Linked DNA regions of Nothobranchius furzeri. Each later gene encodes a partner of the first gene's protein in a complex. Links are inferred from orthologs where the notes say so. Each region holds a gene or a part of one and is shown in the gene's direction. Other genes may lie near its edges.

What was found. The genes of interacting proteins can lie anywhere in the genome.
Region 2: lsm11 (region 1) and lsm10 share a complex: the UniProt entries of both Homo sapiens proteins name them as parts of the heptameric ring U7 snRNP complex. The link is inferred for Nothobranchius furzeri from reciprocal best matches to the Homo sapiens genes LSM11 and LSM10.

The regions. Positions count from the first base shown.
Region 1 is NC_091742.1:46,324,765-46,335,597, forward strand, and holds lsm11 (U7 snRNA-associated Sm-like protein LSm11), read left to right. Parts: upstream 1-5,081; 5' UTR 5,082-5,268; coding exon 5,269-5,785; intron 5,786-6,087; coding exon 6,088-6,227; intron 6,228-6,303; coding exon 6,304-6,387; intron 6,388-8,585; coding exon 8,586-8,903; 3' UTR 8,904-9,040; downstream 9,041-10,833. Other genes in the region: thg1l (probable tRNA(His) guanylyltransferase), read right to left, coding at 2,160-2,267, 2,942-3,030, 3,106-3,275, 3,815-3,991, 4,077-4,287, 4,515-4,539. UniProt on the Homo sapiens protein: Component of the U7 snRNP complex that is involved in the histone 3'-end pre-mRNA processing. Increases U7 snRNA levels but not histone 3'-end pre-mRNA processing activity, when overexpressed. Required for cell cycle progression from G1 to S phases.
Region 2 is NC_091759.1:27,044,030-27,054,874, forward strand, and holds lsm10 (U7 snRNA-associated Sm-like protein LSm10), read left to right. Parts: upstream 1-5,403; 5' UTR 5,404-5,468; intron 5,469-5,925; exon of another isoform or gene 5,926-6,000; 5' UTR 6,001-6,059; coding exon 6,060-6,455; 3' UTR 6,456-6,526; intron 6,527-7,281; exon of another isoform or gene 7,282-7,418; intron 7,419-8,755; 3' UTR 8,756-8,831; downstream 8,832-10,845. Other genes in the region: protein OSCP1, read left to right, coding at 254-396, 473-527, 4,480-4,602. UniProt on the Homo sapiens protein: Appears to function in the U7 snRNP complex that is involved in histone 3'-end processing. Increases U7 snRNA levels but not histone 3'-end pre-mRNA processing activity, when overexpressed. Required for cell cycle progression from G1 to S phases.

The DNA.
Region 1 (10,833 bases):
AATTCTGAAAAACAAAACGAACCAGCAGCATCAGTCGGTGTGTAGCTGGTTTAAGGACTTGACTACGACAACAAACACACCCGCACACAATGATCTGCATGATCCAGTGTGGGGGAGAGTCTTTTAATGTTTACTGATCTTAACCAATGATGTGACTCAGATTCTGTAACAGTGAAGACTTTCCATTGCTACTCAGGAGTTTAAGTTTCACCAGGCATCCTCAGAAATCCCTCAAGACAGCTCAAACTGAAGTTAGTTTGAAAATTACAGCCTAGCTGTTAGCTAATCAGTCCTGAAGGACATAAGCTCTATTTCTCTAAACAGAAGCTGTTCAGAAGACTACCTAATCGATATTTACAACTTTTACACAGATATACAGATCCTTCTCAAAAAATCATCATATTGTGATAAAGTTCATTATTGTCTGTAATGTACTGATAAACATTAGACTTTCATATATATTAGATTCATTACACACAGCTGAAGTAGTTCAAGCCTTTTATGGTTCATAATACTGATGATTTTGGCATGCAGCTCATGAAAACCCAAAATTCCTTTCTCAAAAAATTAGCATATTTCATCCGACCAATAAAAGAAAAGTGTTTTTAACACAAAAAAAGTCAACCTTCAAATAATTATGTTCAGTTATGCACTCAATACTTGGTCGGGAATCCTTTTGCAGAAATGACTGCTTCAATGCGGCGGGGCATGGAGGCAATCAGCCTGTGGCACTGCTGAGGTGTTATGGAGGCCCAGGATGCTTCGATAGCGGCCTTAAGCTCATCCAGAGTGTTGGCTCTTGCGTCGCTCAACTTCCTCTTCACAATATCCCACAGATTCTCTACGGGGTTCAGGTCAGGAGAGTTGGCAGGCCAGTTGAGCACAGTAATACCATGGTCAGTAAACCATTTACCAGTGGTTTTGGCACTGTGAGCAGGTGCCAGGTCGTGCTGAAAAAAGAAATCTTCATCTCCATAAAGCTTTTCAGCAGATGGAAGCATGAAGTGCTCCAAAATCTCCTGATAGCTGGCTGCCTTGACCCTGCCCTTGATAAAACACAGTGGACCAACACCAGCAGCTGACATGGCACCCCAGACCATCACTGACTGTGGGTACTTGACACTGGACTTCAGGCATTTTGGCATTTCCCTCTGCCCAGTCTTCCTCCAGACTCTGGCACCTTGATTTCCGAATGGCATGCAAAATTTGCTTTCATCCGAAAAAAGTACTTTGGACAACAATCCAAGTAGTAAACAGTCCAGTGCTGCTTCTCTGTAGCAGTTCCAGGTCAGGCGCTTCTGCCGCTGTTTCTGGTTCAAAAGTGGCTTGGCCTGGGGAATGCGACACCTGTAGCCCATTTCCAGCACACGCCTGTACACGGTGGCTCTGGATGTTTCTACTCCAGACTCAGTCCACTGCTCCCGCAGGTCCCCCAGGATCTGGAATCGGTCCTTCTCCACAATCTTCCTCAGGATCCGGTCACCTCTTCTGGTTTTGCAGCGTTTTCTGCCACACTTTTTCCTTCCCACTGAGGTGCCTTGATACAGCACTCTGGGAACAGCCTATTCATTCAGAAATTTCTTTCTGTGTCTTACCCTCTTGCTTGAGGGTGTCAATGATGGCCTTCTGGACAGTAGTCAGGTCAGCAGTCTTACCCATGATTGAAGTTTTGAGTAATGAACCAGGCTGGGAGTTTTTAAAAGCCTCAGGAATCTTTTGCTGGTGTTTAGAGTTAATTAGTTGATTCAGATGATTAGGCTAATAGCTCGTTTAGAGAACCTTTTCATGATATGCTAATTTTTTGAGATAGGAATTTTGGGTTTTCATGAGCTGTATGCCAAAATCATCAATATTAGAAACAATAAAAGGCTTGAACTACTTCAGCAGTGTGTAATGAATCTAATATATATGAAAGTCTAATGGTTATCAGTACATTACAGACAATAATGAACTTTATCACAATATGAAGATTTTTTGAGAAGGACCTGAATGCTTCAAAATATCCTTTTTAACTTCTTCACTCAACAATAATCTGTTAAAATAAAATAAAAAGGATCAATTTTGTAATTTTGTAAAAAAAAAAAATCCATCTGATTGAATCTCAATAAGCCCTGATTTCCCCTCCCCTGACTGTTCTGTATCGTTCTGCAGCATCTCACCTTTTCCCAAACGAGGCTGGTTCCTTTCCGGTGAACAGCTGATTCGTTGTTATAGTTGATGTCAAACTCTGAGAACAGGATCTCGTTTTTATCCGACGCCAACGTTCCCTAAAAACAAAACAGAAGCCAATGTAAGTGGAAGGTATCACCTTGGTGACCACAAAAGGCCCGAAAAGAGTTCAGGTTAAAGCTTCACTACATCACTCATTTCTCCAAACAGATCACCATCAGAACAGCGCCACCAACTGGTCGTGGAGAGTTTTATTCCCTCCAGGACGGTTTGGAGAGTTTCCTGAACCACTAATGACTGGAGATGTCCGAACATGCAGCCAGGATAAACATTCCCTCTGCTGCTGTCCTGCCAGGAGAACAGCTGCTCTGGCAGCGGACACAAATACCTCCTCCTTGTGCAGCTGCATCTATCATTCAGATGAGAATAAAATCCCCTTCTATTTAAATTCACAGGAAGTAAAGACAATCTGCCTGAAAGAAGGTTAAAGTGTTCACGAAAACTTATTAAATAGTAAAGTTTGGTCACTTTCTAACAAAATGACCAAGCTGACTATTAAGCTGCACTTTTGTAGCCGAGACTGAATATCCTACTGACTATGGCTGCACCGCATACTACAGATCAGAGGAATGTAGAACATGTATTCCTTATGTTTTGTTGAGTGATGGATTTTATTTAATGTCCCAAGTTAGAGGACAATAAACTTTAAACAAGAAGAAGACAACGGGGAAAAAGAAGGGAAGACATTAGTTTAATACTTGAGTGCTCTCACCTTTAAGCGATCATCTGCCTGGGCGGTAGTGAGTCCTCCCTTTTGAATCAACGCCCAAAACACCGTGTTGTATAAGTTATTGATGTGACCTAAAACATACAGAACGAGTTTAGATCACCCGTTTGTAACATCCAAGCAGAATTCAGGACATCACGTTTCCTTACAATCCGCTTGCCTCCAGCAAAGATAGTCTCTAAGGTTACGGTTGCTAGGATACAGGACCACACGCCCATCAAAGCTCGGGGGACACAAGAGGGGCTGTTCTCCGAAAAACTCCTTCCAGTAAAACACATATGATGAGGAGAACTGGGAGGCCACATGGGTCATGAGCTTGCTGCAAGAAAAACAAGAGAAAAAATAAGTAAGTCCCTTCTATGTTTCTAAGAAAGCAACAATAGGCTGATCAGATCCAAACCAACAAACGTGGGACAGGCACATCATTAATAGGCCTCATTATTGCACTTCTTCACATGGAATGGAAGAAAAAAACATCCACAAAGTTTCTGCCAGAGTTCAGGTCAGCGTTGGGAGGAGAGATCTTATTTCTTCAGTTTTAGCAACACTCGAATGGCTTCCTGGGAAACTCATTAAGCTCTAAAAGACCAAGCTCCACCAGGAACCAGTCTCAGACAGCAGGTTTACATGTGGCTCCTAGAGCTTCAAACGGTACAACAGAGACAAAGATTCCTGTTTTCAGGCTCTTGTGGATCCAGCTTCTAGTTTCCGTCTGTGAGTCACACACCCTCTCTCCTCTGATCATTCTGATAGCTGGTTGGGTTGTCCAACTCTTCCGTGCTTGTCCGTTTCCCTTGCCTGTCCTCTCAGATCCCAGTTTTTCCCCGTTGACCCAAAATGACAATTCAACAGGAGTACCTGGCTCTCCTCTTGAACCAGGTGGAGCTCCTTTTGAAAACAAAGCTGAACTCATCACTTTGACCATAAGCAATGACGATGTCCTCCAGTTCCTCCATGACAGAGCGAGCACTCCTGGTCATCAGCCCCAGAGCCCTGTCATCATTGGGCTTAGTAAACGCGTGCTGCTCTGAAAACCTGAACCACATTAAAATACAGGGAAAGGGTCAACACAGAGTACTGACTCCTACCGTCACGTCTCTGGGATGAAGAGAAAGCTCACCTGTGGAAGTTGCGTCCGTCCAGTCTGACAACGATGTAGCAGTTCCGCAGACAGGTGTCATCCGTTTCAAAGCTGCGGACGTACTCAAACTTGCTCTTAGCCATGATGCTGGATCGGGCGAAAGAACGAGAAATGGATGAGACAAACCAGGTCCTACCCCCTGCACCAAGTCCGGATAGTCTTCTGGTCAGCATTAAGGAGCTCCCGAGAACTAGAAAACATCAGGCACACACAGTGACACAAGGCAATAAAATACAACCGAAACGGGGTTGATTAGAATGAATATTCTGCTACATTGAAAGAGCTAGCTTGTATTTATTCATGAACAGTATCAAGTTAGCATTTAAAACGCGTTGGTTATTGTTTATTTTGTTACAGAAATGCTGTTTTAAAGAAATAATATCATAAAGTTACGTAAAAACCTTTTATTTTACTCACGTTGGTTTGTGTACAGTCCGTTCATTAACTTCGTCGTAGTTCCTCAACCGTCACATTGGTTCCGGGCATTTTGTTTTTCCTTTTTTAAGCAAAACTAAAAAGTTCTCCTTAGTTCTCATTATAAAATGTTAATAAATTACAATTGGTTGATATTTTGTTAATTAATGTATATTAATGTGGAATCCTAAAGAAATTCTCGCAAAGATCCTTTCCGGGATTGTTGTACTTTAGCGCCATCCAGTGTTTAAAAGTTAGCATTTACCCGTAAATGTTTAAAATGGACATATAAAGCTTGGAAAATAATGTCAAAATATTACAGAAAATAAATGTAAATACAACACATTACATTTTTAGGAGGGCTGTGTTTTCTAATGAATAAATACAATTAGTGTTGATAGGTGTTGTGTTGAAATAAAGTCCCCCTGACCTCAAGCACCTTAGCTGTTAATAAAGTGGCTGAAAGGGAAAAAGTGTTTTGTAAATTTACTTGAAATGTTACAAACGCAACATTTTAAAAAGTTAACTCTTTATATTTATATTGCATATATTTAAATTTTTGAATGACTTTGTTCGTCATAAGTTGTGCAGCTGTTAAACATGTCCGGCGTTGTTCCCACAACAAAATGATATAGAACACTCATTTGGAGACTGATATGGTTATACCGTGTAGTTTGTGTGGCTGTGATTACATATTTTTTGTAAACACTAGTTTGCGATAAAAGACGTAAAACTGAACGAAGGGCGATTTCGTCGGATGGCACACCTTTTTAGGCACAACACCGGCAACAACTTTCCCAGGATTCCTCGCTTCCCCACGACCCGCTCTTTGGTCGTTTCAAACATGGAGGAAAGCGAACAGAAGAAGTCAGACAGCAGGGTGTCCGCAGCAGAGCCCAAGCCCGCGGCCGGCGCTAACGACGAGGACGACGCCGCAGAAAAAACAAACGTTTGTTCTGAAAAGTTTGACCCGCTGCAGGCCTTGTACTCTCCGTCCGCGGCACCTCTTCCCTTCCCAAACATCAAGTGCTTCAACAATGTGGCAGAGTACGAGAGTTTTCTGAAGGGTGGCCGGGGCCGAGCCAAACCGGAGAACGTGGAGAAGAGGCAGCGAAAGGCGATGAAAGGGGTGGCGGACCCGGAGCGGATCGAAAGGCTGAAGATGCTGATGGTGAACAACCCGGTGTCGGACCCGGAGGAGGGGGGCAGTGGCGGCCAGAGCCGGAAGAAGAGGAGGCAGAAGCCCCAGAAGAATGTCCTGACACGGATGCCCCGTAGGTTCATTTAAAGGCATGTCAGATAACGCAGCACCACCTCTATACCAGCCAGTTAACGAGCTATCCTGTTTAAATTACCCCGATGTAGGTCAAAACACAGTCACACTCGTAGTTATATACGGGCCAATTTTCACAATAAAAGCAGAAATATGTCGGTATTTCTATCATTTATATCTATACTCTCTAGTTTTGTAAGCGTGCCTTCACCCTGTCCTACAGAAATCTGCGTGTGCTTCAGCTGCATGATTGACGAGCTGGGCTAGGTGCAGCTGCATAACCTGCTTGTCATGTATCTTCAGTGTGTAAGGGCAGTCCTCTGGGAGAGCTGTACCGCTGCGTGGAGGAAAGGATAAGGGTCAAAGTTCACATCAGGACCTTTAAAGGACTTCGGGGAGTGTGCTCAGGCTTTGTTGTGGCCTTCGACAAGTTCTGGAACATGGTGAGCGGTCCCACTCCAGTCTTTGTGCTGTTTCCATGTTAGTCATTCATCGCTGGATGCTGCTTGTTGTTGGCAGGCGATGGTGGATGTAGACGAGACGTACAGGGAACCTCTGCTTGGAGAGGCCGTGTACCACGAGAAGGCACTCACAATTTCACGAGTACGTACCAGTTCTCTCTTTCGTTGTTTCATGTATAGCTGAAAATCTACTTGCAGAAGTTTTACAGTATTTGCATATTGAATTATAATGTGACAGAATGAGATTTTCTAATCTGGGAAAGACGGGACTTGTGAGCGCCTCAAACAGGACGGGGAGAAGGGAACAGGGAACGTTGCGCTTTAACCTGAATGACCTCAGGCTCTTCAGAATCCAGCGCTGCACAAAGATCAGAACCACAGAGGCTTAGCACATGGGTTGTGTAGAAATGTTTTGGTTACATAAAAGAAGAAGATGCTGCGTGTTGTGCAGAACCTGCCTTGCTACTGTTGCTACCCGGTGAGGTGACGCCACAGACCTTTACCTAAACAAACATCACACCACCAGCTGCCAGCGCTTCAGCTACCAGTAAACAAACTCTCAGGTGACCGAGCTGCATAACAATAATTTATGCATAATAAATCTGATATGGTTTATAATACATTGATTTATTTTTTGCTTGCTTTAGTTGAAAAATGAGAGAAAAACAACTTGAGGAAGGAATAATGAATTAAATCGGAAATAGATAATTTCCCTAAGTCGTTCAGCCCTGGTGTACACGCCTGGAAACGAGTCTAAATTAGGCATTTTGGTAAAAATCTGGAGATAAAAATGAGTGATGCACTGATATGAAATCTTTGGGCCAATACCGGTGATATTAATATCACCGTTTCAGTGCATAAGCGATATTTGCTGATACCGGTAAGCTGACATTAATGCTTCTAAAATCAGCAAATTCTGTATAGAATGAAGATGACTGAAGCTTAATTTACATTATTGTGTACACACACCGCATATTTATGATTCTGAGACGATTACATCACTGTCACATGACCAAACGAATACAACCCCCCCCCTGAAACAGATAACCAAATGGAAAAAATATTGGTTGTTTATGTCGACCCGGTTCTATTTATCGGACCGACGTGTTAAGAAATGACACGTGACATATCGTCCACCAGAAAAATGTTGGGTACATTTATGCAGCCCTTATAAGGACGTTCTGCTCACCTGTTCACCGCTCAGACATCAGGTCCTGAGCTCGGATCGCCCCAGATGTCCTCCAGTCATGGAGTCCGTCTTCCTGATCCTTTCCCCCTGGAACACCGAGTCGGAATACGCCTTGGGTTGTCAGGTGTTACCTCCCAGTGTCGGCACCGTTTGGGTCTGACCCAAGTTTAAAAAGTCCTCCGTCAGATCTGTGCCTCTTCTAGTGTCCGTATGATTTATAGCTGCACTGTTAGATGATGAGTAGAAACGCGACTGAAACCACGCAGCAGTAGTTTACAGGCACAACGCGCCTACCCACACGGGCACACCTGGGTGAGTTGGTGATTGGCCGCTCTGCAACTCAAAAATCCAATTGTGTGTTTTATGGTTCAGGAAGGGACCCTCGCTAAGCACTGGTTCATTCCAGCAGTAGTCTGTCCCTTTGTGAAGAAGGGTTATAGTCACATCATTAAAAAGTGTTTAGTTTGTGGCGCTCGGTAAGAAAACTGATAATTCACCAGCGTCGGTCCTCAGCGCCCGAACAGCTGCAGCTCTAAATGAATCCATGAAATACCAGAAACATGGTTTTAAAGCTGAAGCAGGAGCTGAAACACCGATGAGCCTGGCTAAGAGGTGCAACATAAAGGCCTTGGCTTCAAAACAAACATGACTGAATGTGCATGAAACTAGGGATGCAACAATACCACTTTTTTCCAAATCGATACGATACCGATACTTGGATCTGAGTACTCGCCGATACCGATTACCAATACCGATACTTCTACCTTACAAAAAAATGCAATGATTTGGAATACAGATTTTATTTTCCTCTCTGCACAGGAAAAGACTGTGAGGTAGATAAAAAGTAAAATATATGAATGGAAATCATCACAAAACTAAAACATTAGGTGAACAGAAATGACAAGTTACAGTGAAGCCATTTTCAAGCAACTGCATTGGTATCGGTTCCTGGTATCGGTTAACTTTTACCGATACAGGTATTGGCATCGTATCGGTGCATCCCTACATGAAACACACCAACAAATGCTTTGGAGCTAAGAAACCGTTTCCTTCTGAGTCCGAGTGGCTTCAGGATGTGATCTTATGAAAGCACCGTAGTACTTTTGGTCTTTTAGGTCCTACTCTTCATCGTTAACATAATCTTTGTGCAGCTCTTTGAGAAGCTGAGCCTGCAGCGGGACTCGGGAGCCAACGAGGCCGCCAAGAAGCAAGAAACAAGAGAGGAAACCAACAAGCCTCAACCTGCAAATCCCCAAGCTGCTCCGAAGAGCCGCCCTGCTCAGCCTGCTGGTGCGAGAGGGGACGGGACGCCTGAGTCCGAGCAGTCCCGCACGGCGAAGAGCAAACAGGATAAAGATGATGTCTCACAGAAGAGCCATCAGAAGTGCGGGACGGTGCGCACACGCCACATCAGCCAGCTGTTTATCCGCGGTGAGAATGTCATCCTGGTCAACCCGCAGCCCCTCTGACTGAAAATCCTGCTGGATTAAACACAAACGCTTGACTCTTCACCAATGTCCAGATTGAGATGGGCCTGTTATATCATATTGATATGGTGCACCAAAGGAATGATCTCATTTATTGAGGAATAAAACTTCTAGTCTGGTCTGTTTGTAGATTCTTCCCAGTGTGTTCTGCTTGTTGGCCAGCAGGTGGCAGCATAAACACGCCCGTCCAGCTGTGCAGCTACTGTCATCTGGAAGAGCTCCTTGTCCCTTTAAGTTGCTCTTCCCGTTAGTCTGAGCAGGGACGACAGCGCGGTCTCGGCGGGCTTCATAAATGCATTATGAATAATGGAGTTAGTGAAGCTGCAGATTGCAGATGGCACTCAAACGCTGTCATTTGTCTTTACGTCTCAGATTGCTTTTTACTCTTTAATGGGCACATTACCCATAAAAGCACAATTTACTGCATCTCATGGAAGTTGTAAAATGTTTCTCTCCTGAAGGAGGGTGCTTATAAGTGGCACGGAGTGATTGTCACTCGTCTGCTGCTCTGCTCCGGTTCTGGTTCTGGACCGGAGACATCACTGACCCTCTTTTCCATATAGTTTAAGTCACAAGTGGAGCGCGTTTTATCACGAGTTGAACTTTAGCTCATTTACTGTACACACCGCTCGTATATTAGAATATTATTAGTGTAGCCAATTTAACTGTCCTCTCCAGAGAGAGGAAACGGGGTCAAGTGTTTAATGCAAGCTGCGTTTTAGTCGTGTTTGTCACACAAGTGCGCTCAAACAAATCTCCGTCTAATAAAGGGCCACGGCGCTGATGGTAGAGATGACCCAGAATCACATCGTCTTGTGTCCTCCATGTTGCACCAGAAAAATAAACGAGGACAACCTTCTAACGGTGGATTTTAATTGTTGATGAATTACAGGAGTGTGGATATCGTGTGGCCGTCAGGCTCAAGCGGTGCTATTTAAACACACTTTGCGTTGCTCTCATTGGTCGTTTAGGCTACCTGTGCTGTAGCCTGCTTGGGAATAAGTCTCCCGATGCACTTGGCTTTATTCCCACCAAGCAACAAAGTTAAAGTCACATTAAGTAAAATGCAATTTCAGAGCCAAGCGCATCGGTTTTGCTGCTGGAAGCAGTTCTGAATGAGGCTAATGACACAGCACACCAAATAACACACATCATTAACACGTTTAAATCAACTGTTTAATGCTGTCCACGAGGAGTCTGGTTGTGGAAATCAAATCAGAGCGGGAAGAACGTAAAGAAGGTTCTAAAGGGGTTCCTTACGCTAGTGTTCAGTAACAATCCCGTTGGTTTTAAAAAAGGAGCAGAATGATTTAAAGTAAAAAAACATTTCTACTGATATACATTAGAAGAAGAAGAAACAGCAAAGAGATTTTGGTCATTTCAATGCTTCAGACATCAATGCAAGGCTGCTATGTGTTGCTGTGCTCAGCCTGCAGCCCTGAGGGAAGTCCAGTCCTCCTCTCGTCAGTTATTCATCTCAAACGTACAAAAAAATGTCAGGCCGCTACGATTCAGTTCTGATTATCAATCACTCATTAGAAGGGGTGGGAAGCAGTCGTCAGCAGGCACTTGAACCACAAACCTCTGGAGCGCAGCTGAGGAGGGCTCCAGTCATCACGGGCCAACAACCATCAGTACATCTTCATCCAGCCAGCACCACCCAGATGGTAACGGTGTTCTGCACTGATGGTTGCTGTGACAACCATACAAGTGTGCAGCACCAGTGAGGATGGAAGGCACAGAGAAGATGCAACATTGAACACGTGTGAACTTTATAACAGTCACAGATCAAACCTGAGGTGTCGCCACGGGCTTGAACCGCTCGGGAAGAAAACAGGTGCTTGGGATAAACAGCACAGTCACATGCATGTGATGTCTGCAGGCAGCACACACGGCTACGACGGACCTGAGC
Region 2 (10,845 bases), on another chromosome or scaffold:
TCACCGTCTGTTTTCTATCAGAAGCTACTGCAGGAGATAGGTGTAGGAGACTATCTTCATGTTCAGCCTGCATGAAACACTTGGATATATTTCAAAGAGAACAAGTAAAAACCTGCTTCTGAGTGACCCTGGCCTGCAAAGGTCTCCAGGTTTGGTATTAAACCTCTACAGAAACAGCTGGGATGCAGGTGAAACAGGAAGTGAGCTATTATGAATCGTTTGTCGCCTTGGTCAACATCATTTCCTCTTGCAGTCTGACAACTCCCCCAACCCACTGGCCAAGGAGGAGCTGAACCTGCTGGCCCATCTCATGGGCAGCATGATGCTTGAGCATGTTCCCAAAGGAGATCCCGGCTTTTGCATCAGCTTTTTCTCTCCAGAACCAGAGGAGGAGGAGTTAGTGGCTTTCTTTTCTTCTTCCAGTTTTTACAGTTAAAATAATAACACTTGGATCTGTTCTCCTGCTTCCCAGAGGAGCTCCAGGTGGAACGCAGGAGTTCAGAGTCATCAACATCCAGGCTGTTCAGGTAGGAAGGGGCAGCATCAAACAGACCACTGAAGCTGCTTGAGGGTCAAAGGGAAGTGCAGGCTTCCTCTATGGCTTGTAAAAACATTTGCATTTAATGTAATTATCTAAGAAATGTTCGCCCACCTGAGAAATAAAGGTGTTTATCACGTGGAACGCTCTGGATCAGGTCCGAGTAGCAACGCTCAGGTGGACTACGACAATAGAAACACTGTCTGGGAACAATGTTGTCAACATAGCTTCTGCTTCAGGGAGAATTCTGTCAGCTGGGAGCTCACCATGGCCCAGGAGCCCTGATACATGATGTTCTCCTCATGCACGTGTGGAGTTAGCATGTTCTCCTCCAGCGCGTTCTCCTCATGCACGTGTGGAGTTAGCATGTTCTCCTCCAGCGCGTTCTCCTCATGCACGTGTGCAGTTAGCGTGTTCTCCTCCAACGTGTTCTCCTCATGCACGTGTGGAGTTAGCATGTTCTCCTCCAGCGCGTTCTCCTCATGCATGTGTGGAGTTAGCGTGTTCTCCTCATGCACGTGTGGAGTTGGCATGTTCTCCTTATGCACGTGTGGAGTTAGCATGTTCTCCTCCAGCGCGTTCTCCTCATGCACGTGTGGAGTTAGCATGTTCTCCTCCAGCGCATTCTCCTCATGCACGTGTGCAGTTAGCGTGTTCTCCTCCAACGTGTTCTCCTCATGCACGTGTGGAGTTAGCATGTTCTCCTCCAGCGCGTTCTCCTCATGCATGTGTGGAGTTAGCGTGTTCTCCTCATGCACGTGTGGAGTTGGCATGTTCTCCTTATGCACGTGTAGAGTTAGCATGTTCTCCTCCAACGTGTTATCCTCATGCACGTGTGGAGTTAGCATGTTCTCCTCCAGCGCGTTCTCCTCATGCACGTGTGCAGTTAGCGTGTTCTCCTCCAGCGTGTTCTCCTCATGCACGTGTGGAGTTAGCGTGTTCTCCTCATGCACGTGTGGAGTTGGCATGTTCTCCTCATGCACGTGTGGAGTTAGCATGTTCTCCTCCAGCGTGTTCTCCTCATGCACGTGTGGAGTTAGCATGTTCTCCTCATGCACGTGTGGAGTTAGCATGTTCTCCTCATACACGTGTGGAGTTAGCATGTTCTCCTCCAGCATGTTCTCCTTATGCACGTGTGGAGTTAGCATGTTCTCCTCATGCATGTGTGGAGTTGGCATGTTCTCCTCATGCACGTGTGGAGTTAGCGTGTTCTCCTCCAGCGCGTTCTCCTCATGCACGTGTGGAGTTAGCATGTTCTCCTCCAGCGCGTTCTCCTCATGCACGTGTGGAGTTAGCGTGTTCTCCTCATGCACGTGTGGAGTTAGCATGTTCTCCTCATACACGTGTGGAGTTAGCATGTTCTCCTTCAGCGTGTTCTCCTCATGCACGTGTGGAGTTAGCATGTTCTCCTCATGCATGTGTGGAGTTGGCATGTTCTCCTCATGCACGTGTGGAGTTAGCGTGTTCTCCTCCAGCGCATTCTCCTCATGCACGTGTGGAGTTAGCGTGTTCTCCAGCGCATTCTCCTCATGCACGTGTGGAGTTAGCGTGTTCTCCTCCAGCGCGTTCTCCTCATGCACGTGTGGAGTTAGCGTGTTCTCCTCCAGCACGTTCTCCTCATGCACGTGTGCAGTTAGCGTGTTCTCCTCCAGCGCGTTCTCCTCATGCACGTGTGCAGTTAGAGTGTTCTCCTCCAGCACGTTCTCCTCATGCACGTGTGGAGTTAGCGTGTTCTCCTCATGCACGTGTGCAGTTAGCGCGTTCTCCTCATGCACGTGTGCAGTTAGCGTGTTCTCCTCCAGCACGTTCTCCTCATGCACGTGTGGAGTTAGCATGTTCTCCTCATGCACGTGTGCATTTAGCGTGTTCTCCTCATGCACGTGTGGAGTTAGCATGTTCTCCTCCAGCGCGTTCTCCTCATGCACGTGTGGAGTTGGCATGTTCTCCTCATGCACGTGTGGAGTTAGCGTGTTCTCCTCTAGCATGTGTGGAGTTAGCGTGTTATCCTCTAGCATGTGTGGAGTTAGCATGTTCTCCTCCAGCGCGTTATCCTCATGCACGTGTGGAGTTGGCATGTTCTCCTCCAGCGCGTTCTCCTCATGCACGTGTGGAGTTAGCATGTTCTCCTCCAGCGTGTTTTCCTCATGCACGTGTGGAGTTGGCATGTTCTCCTCCAGCGCGTTCTCCTCATGCACGTGTGGAGTTGGCATGTTCTCCTCCAGCGTGTTCTCCTCATGCACGTGTGGAGTTAGCATGTTCTCCTTATGCACGTGTGGAGTTAGCGTGTTCTCCTCTAGCATGTGTGGAGTTAGCGTGTTATCCTCTGGCATGTGTGGAGTTAGCATGTTCTCCTCCAGTGCGTTCTCCTCGTGCACGTGTGGAGTTGGCATGTTCTCCTCCAGCGTGTTCTCCTCATGCATGTGTGAAGTTGGCATGTTCTCCTCTAGCATGTGTGGAGTTAGCGTGTTCTCCTCATGCACGTGTGGAGTTGGCATGTTCTCCTCTAGCATGTGTGGAGTTAGCGTGTTCTCCTCCAGAGTGTTCTCCTCATGCACGTGTGGAGTTAGCGTGTTCTCCTCTAGCATGTGTGGAGTTAGCATGTTCTCCTTCAGCATGTGTGGAGTTAGCGTGTTCTCCTTCAGCATGTATGGAGTTAGCGTGTTCTCCTCCAGAGTGTTCTCCTCATGCACGTGTGGAGTTAGCGTGTTCTCCTCTAGCATGTGTGGAGTTAGCATGTTCTCCTTCAGCATGTGTGGAGTTAGCGTGTTCTCCTCTAGCATGTGTGGAGTTAGCATGTTCTCCTTCAGCATGTGTGGAGTTAGCGTGTTCTCCTCTAGCATGTGTGGAGTTAGCGTGTGCTCCTTCAGCATGTATGGAGTTAGCGTGTTCTCCTCCAGAGTGTTCTCCTCATGCACGTGTGGAGTTAGCGTGTTCTCCTCTAGCATGTGTTGAGTTAGCGTGTTCTCCTCTAGCATGTGTGGAGTTAGCATGTTCTCCTTCAGCATGTGTGGAGTGAGCAAAAACATGCATGTCAGGTTAACTGGAGACTAAAGCCTAACTTTTACGTCTCCATCTGCGTCGGGATGGATGCACACAGAGCCATTATCCATCCTTGCGAGGTCTCTCCAGCAGGCTCACCAGGACGGACGGAGTCGAGCTCTCTTTTCTAAACATCCCTCTGTCGACATGGAGAATGCAAGCTTGTGATTGGTCAGGACGCCGCTGTCATCTACAGCACCGCCATTGAGCCCTCAAAAACATAAAGAGAGCCGAGGATATCTAGCGGCAGACATGGAGCAGCTTCAAGAATACCTCGCTGAAAACAACAAATATTAACGTCTGATTCCCCGTGACTGGAGGAGTTAAATGATGTGCAGCAAGCTTTTATTTGTGGACGGAAATGTGGGTTTAGAGGTGGTGAGCGCATGAAGAGGTGGAGGAGAATGAGGGACAAAGTCTCTAAAATACAAAAAAAAAAAAAACATTAACACAATAGTAAACACACTACCTTGGACCGGATACATGACAGGATACCACAGAACAGCACTACGCCCTCTGGTGTCCTGGCAGGGAATTGCTTTGCAACACTCCCCAGGAGACGGAGACATATGAGGGCAAAATGTCTCCGTCCGTGCGTGTCTGTCCCTGGTGGAGCTGATGGAGACGTATAAATTAGGCTTAAGCTGGCTCTGTGTGTCCCAGTGAGGGACAAGAGATCTGTCCAGTGTCGTCTTTTTCCTGAAGAAAGCTGAAGATAAACACCAGCTCCCTGAGAAAAATGGCAGGTCTCCATGTCAAGCTTTCCTTAATTCTCGATATTAATCATTTGTTATTTAAAGAACATTTCCACCTGTTAAATTTGGCTTAAATCTGTATGTTCAGGGACTTTTCATTCATTCCTCCCTGAAGCTTGTTTTTGCTTCAACATTTGTCTGATTCAGGACGAGGAGACGACCTCCACGCTTGCTCAGATTGCTGGACAGTTCACAGACAAAGAAGCAATTCCTGGAGATGAAAGCAGCAGCACTGGAGCCGACCTGCTGGCCATGATGGATGACCTCTGACTGAATACCATGATTACAGCATCAGACTGACTGTCTGACGTCAACAAAATAAGGACAATATTTATAACTTCCTATGATGTTCAAGCTCACGTTTCTCTATACAGCACTGGTACATCCCCAAGATGCTGTAGCAAAGGCACAAGCAATAAAACAGCTATCATAACAAAACATTTCATTAGGATACATGCAACAAACAAAATCAGCTAAGATAGAAGCCTATCTTACAGAAATGACCACAATGTCTGAGTCTGACATAAAGGCCAGATCAAAATGCTCCAAGCTGGGACCGGTCCTTATACGAAGGGAAGGCTGCTCTATAATCTAGTCCGTGGAATCAGAAACGTCCACTTTGTGTCTGTTTACCTGAAAATTCCCAAGAGTTCAGCTCTAAATGTCTGGTAAATTAATACATAAAGGTATTGTTGTCTGGTTTTAACATGATTTACAATGATGCTCTGTCGTTGGGTGGCAATGGCAGAGGAGGTAAGTGGCTGCCTTGTAACAGGAGGGTTGCAGGTTTGAGGCCTGCTCATTGTGTAGCAGTCATCTGCTTGAGCAAGGCACACTCCCTGGCCTGTGAAGCCAGGTGAGGCTACCCCATTGGTTCTGGCTCACCCTGGCTACAGTCGCACACGATCAGAAGTAAAGTCGTCTACGCTGGTAAAAACAAATAAAGTTATCATATTCAAAAGCAGTCGTGTTCACGTTGTTTTTTTAACGTTGGCTTTCCTGATGACTGAACATGTTTAACATATTTTATTATGAATGAAAACTCGTCTTAGAGTTTTCAGAACCGGATCCGGAAGTTACGTCACTAAATGGAATGCGTACGTAAGCGGAAGCCAGCGCGGAGCGGCAGCAGTTCGGTGAGTTCAGACAGTTGTTGTTTGGTGAAAGTTTGAATCTCCCCGGATGTGTCGAGTTTATTTTAACGGGACCCTCGTTATCAGCACCGCTGTCGTTAGAATGCTGACCGCGGCGGGTAAAAACTGCTTTAGCTAAACTTTAGCTTCACACACTGAGCACGCGCCAACCCCAAAACTTAAGTCTCGCGAGATTCCTGTTAAAGACACGAGATCTGGTAGGATCCAAATCTGGTCCCGTCTCGAGGTTCAAGTTTGAAGCTTATGCTCTTTTTAGCGGAAAAGCCGGAAAAAGATCCGGTTGTTAGTGAAAGTGTTAGCCTCAGGTGCTAGCAGGTGCTACAGCTCGGTTCTGGTTCCGTGAGACCACCAGAGGGACAGGTCCTGGTTCAGGTCTCTGATAGAACAGGATCAGCTAACAGGACTGAACCCGGCCAGAGAAAGTCCTTCATAATCATACGGGTCAAAGGCGAGGTCTGGCTCGGTTCTGTTGGGATGAACGGACCCGTTTCAGTCAACTTCCTTCTGGTTTCAGGTCAGGAGAACCGGGTCTGAGCAGCCCGGGTTTCTGGCACCAGAACCTGTGGAGAGGACATGGAGTCTGAAGCAGCTGGAGCTCCAGCCTCGGGTGAAGTGGTTAACTCGATTCGTGAGCGGACCATCTCCGAGAACAGCTTGGTGGTTCTGCTGCAGGGTCTCCAGGGCCGGGTGACCACGGTGGACCTGAGGGACGAGTCCACGGCCCAGGGACGTGTGCTCAGTGTGGATGCCTTCATGAACGTCCGTCTGAAGGACGTGCTGTACCAGGACCGGCGGGGACGGCGCCGCCAGCTGCAGGACCTGTTCATCACCGGCAGGAACGTGCGTTACGTGCACATCCCAGATGACGTGGACATGATGAAGACCATCCAGAACCAGCTGGACAAGATCCACAGAGTCCGGAGCTTCGGCAGCGAAGGCAGGAAGGAGTTCTCCAAGAAGTCGAACTGATCGGACCGGTACCGCTTCGGCACAGGAGTGGGCGATCTTTGTCGGTACATCGTGACGCTCGCGCGGTAACGGTAAACACCCGATGTCATCGCTCCTCGGTCAAAAGGAGGACTGTTGCATGGCAACAAGACTGACGTCTGAGTAACGTTCAAAACTAAAAACACAAAACTTCAGAAGTAATTCATGTTCGGATTCTTTTTCCAGACGAAGCAACGCTAAAATGATCCCGAAGGAAGATATTTTAGTAAAAAACAAACATTTTTCATGTTATTCGCTCAGAAAGGTCCTGAGCTGAGCTCCGATCAGCTGATGGGCGGTTCTGACCCACTGCGGTACACGAGAGACTCTTCTGTCTCTGGTACCAGCAGCCTGTCTGAGGCCCAGTCTGACCAGAACTTTAGTCGTGGTCCTGGTTCTGGGTTGATGCAGATGGGACTTCCAGCGCCGGGTCGGGATGCTTGTTCTGAGCTCCCTGCAGTTCCAGGAGCCGCGGGTCTCCAGCCCGTCTCTGATTGGTGGAGGGCCAGACCATGTTTGGGAGTAGCTGCGTTCCTCTGGAACACGAAGGCTGCTGGGAATTTTTATTCCAGCAGGAGGATGGATACGAACCAGGAAAACCACTTGGATCCGATTCAGCCTGAGTCAGAACCTGACCACATCATTACCACAGGTCCAGGTCTAGAGAGACCAGAACCTGCAGCGTAACAGAGTCAGCTGTGAGATGGAGACACCCCCCCCCCCCCCCCCCCCCAGACATTCCTGCTCATCTCGGCTGCAGCCGCCCAGTTGTTTCCTGCTCCGCCCACCAGAACTCTCCAGAACCCTGCGGGCTGAGCAGTGGACCTGGGTCAGAGCCAGATGGTCCTTTCTGGAGTTCCCAGGCAGGATTCGGTTCTGTGGAGCCACTGGAGGGATGAGTGGCCAGAGACGAGGAGCGCCGATTAAACCTTCATCAGAACCGAGGTGAGTCAGGAGAAAGGTTCTGGTCCAAAGAGCCTTTTGTGAGCTTCAGCAGCATGATAACAGCACGTACCTTGGTGGTTCTGCTGGATCAAAACTCCATTCTGCAGAACTCAGGAGGAATGTGGATCCTCTTAGGTTCAGAACCAGTTTGGGTCTAAATCTGGTCAGAATCAGAACTGGGACTAAACACCACTCTGTTGGTTCTGTTGCTGCCCTGACCCAACAGATCCGGTTGTACTGGCTGTGCAGCACCAGGCTAAAGTTCAGAGGTGCTGCTGTGGTCCCCAGACTCTGGAGCTCTCCCCCCGAGCCTGAGACCAGTGGACTCAGTGGTCTCCTTTAAACTCAGCTGTTGGGGTTTGGTGGGACCTCCCTCTCCTGGTTCTGCTCTTGCTCCACCTTTCCCAGATCCCCCGGTGTCCCTCTCCTTTCATTTTCTCTCCCTTTACTTACATTTTATATCGATTTTTTTTTTCTTATTTTAAACTTTTTTAAAATCTTTTTATCTTTAATTTTTTTGTTTTTGTGAAGCGCCGTATTTTTATCTGGGGTTGCCATAGAAACGGTCCTTTTCTTTCTGGATTGCTCCTCTTCAGCCAACGAGGCCAAAGTCAGATTCTGATGATCACAGAGAAATCAATCAGACTAGAGCAAATGATCACAGAGCAATCAGAGTAGGGCAAGCCACAGATATATTTATTTAGAGCTCTGTTGGCCGCTCAGGTGCAGGAAATGCGGTCGCCATCTTAGATGGGTGGAGCTTGTGGCAGACACGAACCATAGCAGCAGCAGTGACCGCGTGCTTGAGCTCTGTGGGATTATTCCCGCTCTAATCGGCAGACTCTGGAGACCAGAGCTCGGGATTACTCTTAACGAGTAAGTTTGAGCCTGTTTGTTGTTTGTATTTAGTAACTCTAACTTTGCTGTTGTGTGTTTGTGTGCACCAGCAGCACCTCCTAGCCCGCTAACGCTAACTGCTGACAGTGAAGCTAAATGAGACGTTATTCATCATTTATTCCTAAACACCCACTTGTATTACAGCTGAAACAAGAACGCTGCTGTAGAACCCAAACAGAACTTCCTGTAGCAGATACATCCCAGTTCTCTGGCTGGACAGTTAGCTAACATGCTAACAAGCTGAAGAGTCGTTTTCTGGTTCCACCCTTGGGAGAGTTTTGGTTGATTATCATCAGAAATGCAGTTTTAGGTTAAAGACAGATTGTAAGAATATTTAAGGCATAAGTAAACCGAAGAGCAGGAACAACACGAGAAACTAGCGTTGACCTCTTGTACAACATGTAGACGCTAATCTGCTAATCTCATGTTGTGTTTTGTAGCTTTCCACAAAAGGTGTGAGGCTTCCTGCAGCTGGTCAGAGCTGGGCTGTCAGAGATCCTGCTTCTCCTTCAGAGAGTAAGCCATCAGCATCCGTACACGCACACATCCTGCTATCGGTCACGAGGCACAGTGCAATACTTTCCCCACACACCTCGTCCTGAACTCATTTCTCACCCACTCATGTATTTCAGTCACCGCAGTGAGGATCATACCTGGGTGTCCCAGAGTTTTCACCGCAGCAGGGGCCACTGATGTCAGCTGAGAGCCACAGGTGTGTACTATAACCACTAATATAAACATGATGTGCTTGTTTCAACCAGAGACCCTAACCTCAGCTGATGATGTGAGTATTTAACCATCATGTCATGACCCCCCCCACACACACACACACACACACACACACCTGTCTCCTGTAAGCTGATACTGCAGCGCCCACTATTGTAATTTGATGACAGCCGACAAAAATGTCCGGCGTTGTTTACAGTACCCACAGGATGTCGTGTTCACTTCTTTTCTACATAATGCACCTTTAATGATAAATAACCCGCACTTATACAGCGCCTCTCAGAGTCAGGACTCCAGAGCGCTTTACACTACAGTGTATCATTCACCCATTCACACACACACATTCACACACTGGTGGGGATGAGCTACCATGTAGCCACAGCTGCCCTGGGGCGCACTGACGGAGGCGAGGCTGCCGAGCACAGGCGCCACCGGTCCCTCCGACCACCACCAGCAGGCAACGTGCGTTAAGTGTCTTGCCCAAGGACACAACAGCAGACTTCTCTGTCCGGAGCCGGGATCGAACCTGCAACCTTCCGATTACTGGACAACCCGCTCCACCTGCTGAGCTGCTGCTGCCCCAATTAAATGTGTTTCTATTGTTTCACAGGAGGCTGTGGCTGGTGAGCCCGGCCTAAGAGGACCAGACTAAACACAGAGGTGCAGCACTGATGCTGACGCCACGGCCGTCAGACGTGATGTTTGTTACGTTGGTGGTTCTGGAGAGATGATCGCACCTCTAACTGCAGAAGAGGAGCTCCAGATAAAAGTTCTGCATCAGTCCTCTTTCAGGGGTTTCAGCTCACGGAACGCTTCAGTTAGGGTTAAAAACAGATGAATGAAAACAAAACAACTAAAACGAGCTCTCTCTCTCCCCGCGTCCTGTCCTGCTGTAAAGCAGCCAGAGCTGATGTCTGGGTACCAAGAACAGTCCGACTCTCAGGTAGAGAGTAGTCCACCTGGTATTAGAGATGCTTTTGGTGGTTTGTAATCCCAACGGGGATGGAAGAGATGGGGAGAGTTCACGAGAAGGAAAGGATGAAGAAGAAGCTTCTAGGTCTGCAGAAAGGGACACACACACACCGAACCAGAACATCACCAGCTGTTCTTGTCATCCAGACGTTGTTCTAGTGGTTCTCTCACCCTCTCTCTGAATTATATTGACACTATATGTATGTGGCTGCTTCTCAAAGCACGTCTTCATAAACTCGATTATTCATCACTCAGCACCCCGTTTGGTCACTGGTGCCCCTTTCACTACTCATCATGTGATCTGTACTCACTCGTTAACTGGCCTTCGCTCCATTCCTGCAGGATGTTACACTGGTTGTGGTTAGGGTTACCCTAACCCGTCATATCTTCTCTCATCATCATCACTTCCAACAACCAGCACCGTTTACGTTCCAGTAACCTCATCTCTACGGTTACTCCCAAAGCTGGCACCTCCTTTGGCCGCTCCTCATTCCAGTTTGCTGCTTCCAACGACTGGAATGAGCTGCAGAACCACTGAAGCTCCCTACCTACATTCCATTATCTACCCTCAATAATTCGTGGTGATCAATAGTTTGTGATCAGTGTTCTTCTGAGTACTAAAGACTGTTTCAGTCCGTTCTGACTGCTCGTACGTGTTCTACATGAGAACGTTGTCTTCATGTCTGTTAATCTGGTTCATCTCACCTGTTCTTTGGTGTAAAGCTAACCACGCCTCTGGGCCAGACCCTCGTGGGAAAGGAGTCCTCTCATCTGGATAAATAAAGACATAAATATGAACCATAGAACATTTGTTTCAGCTGTCTATGAGAAT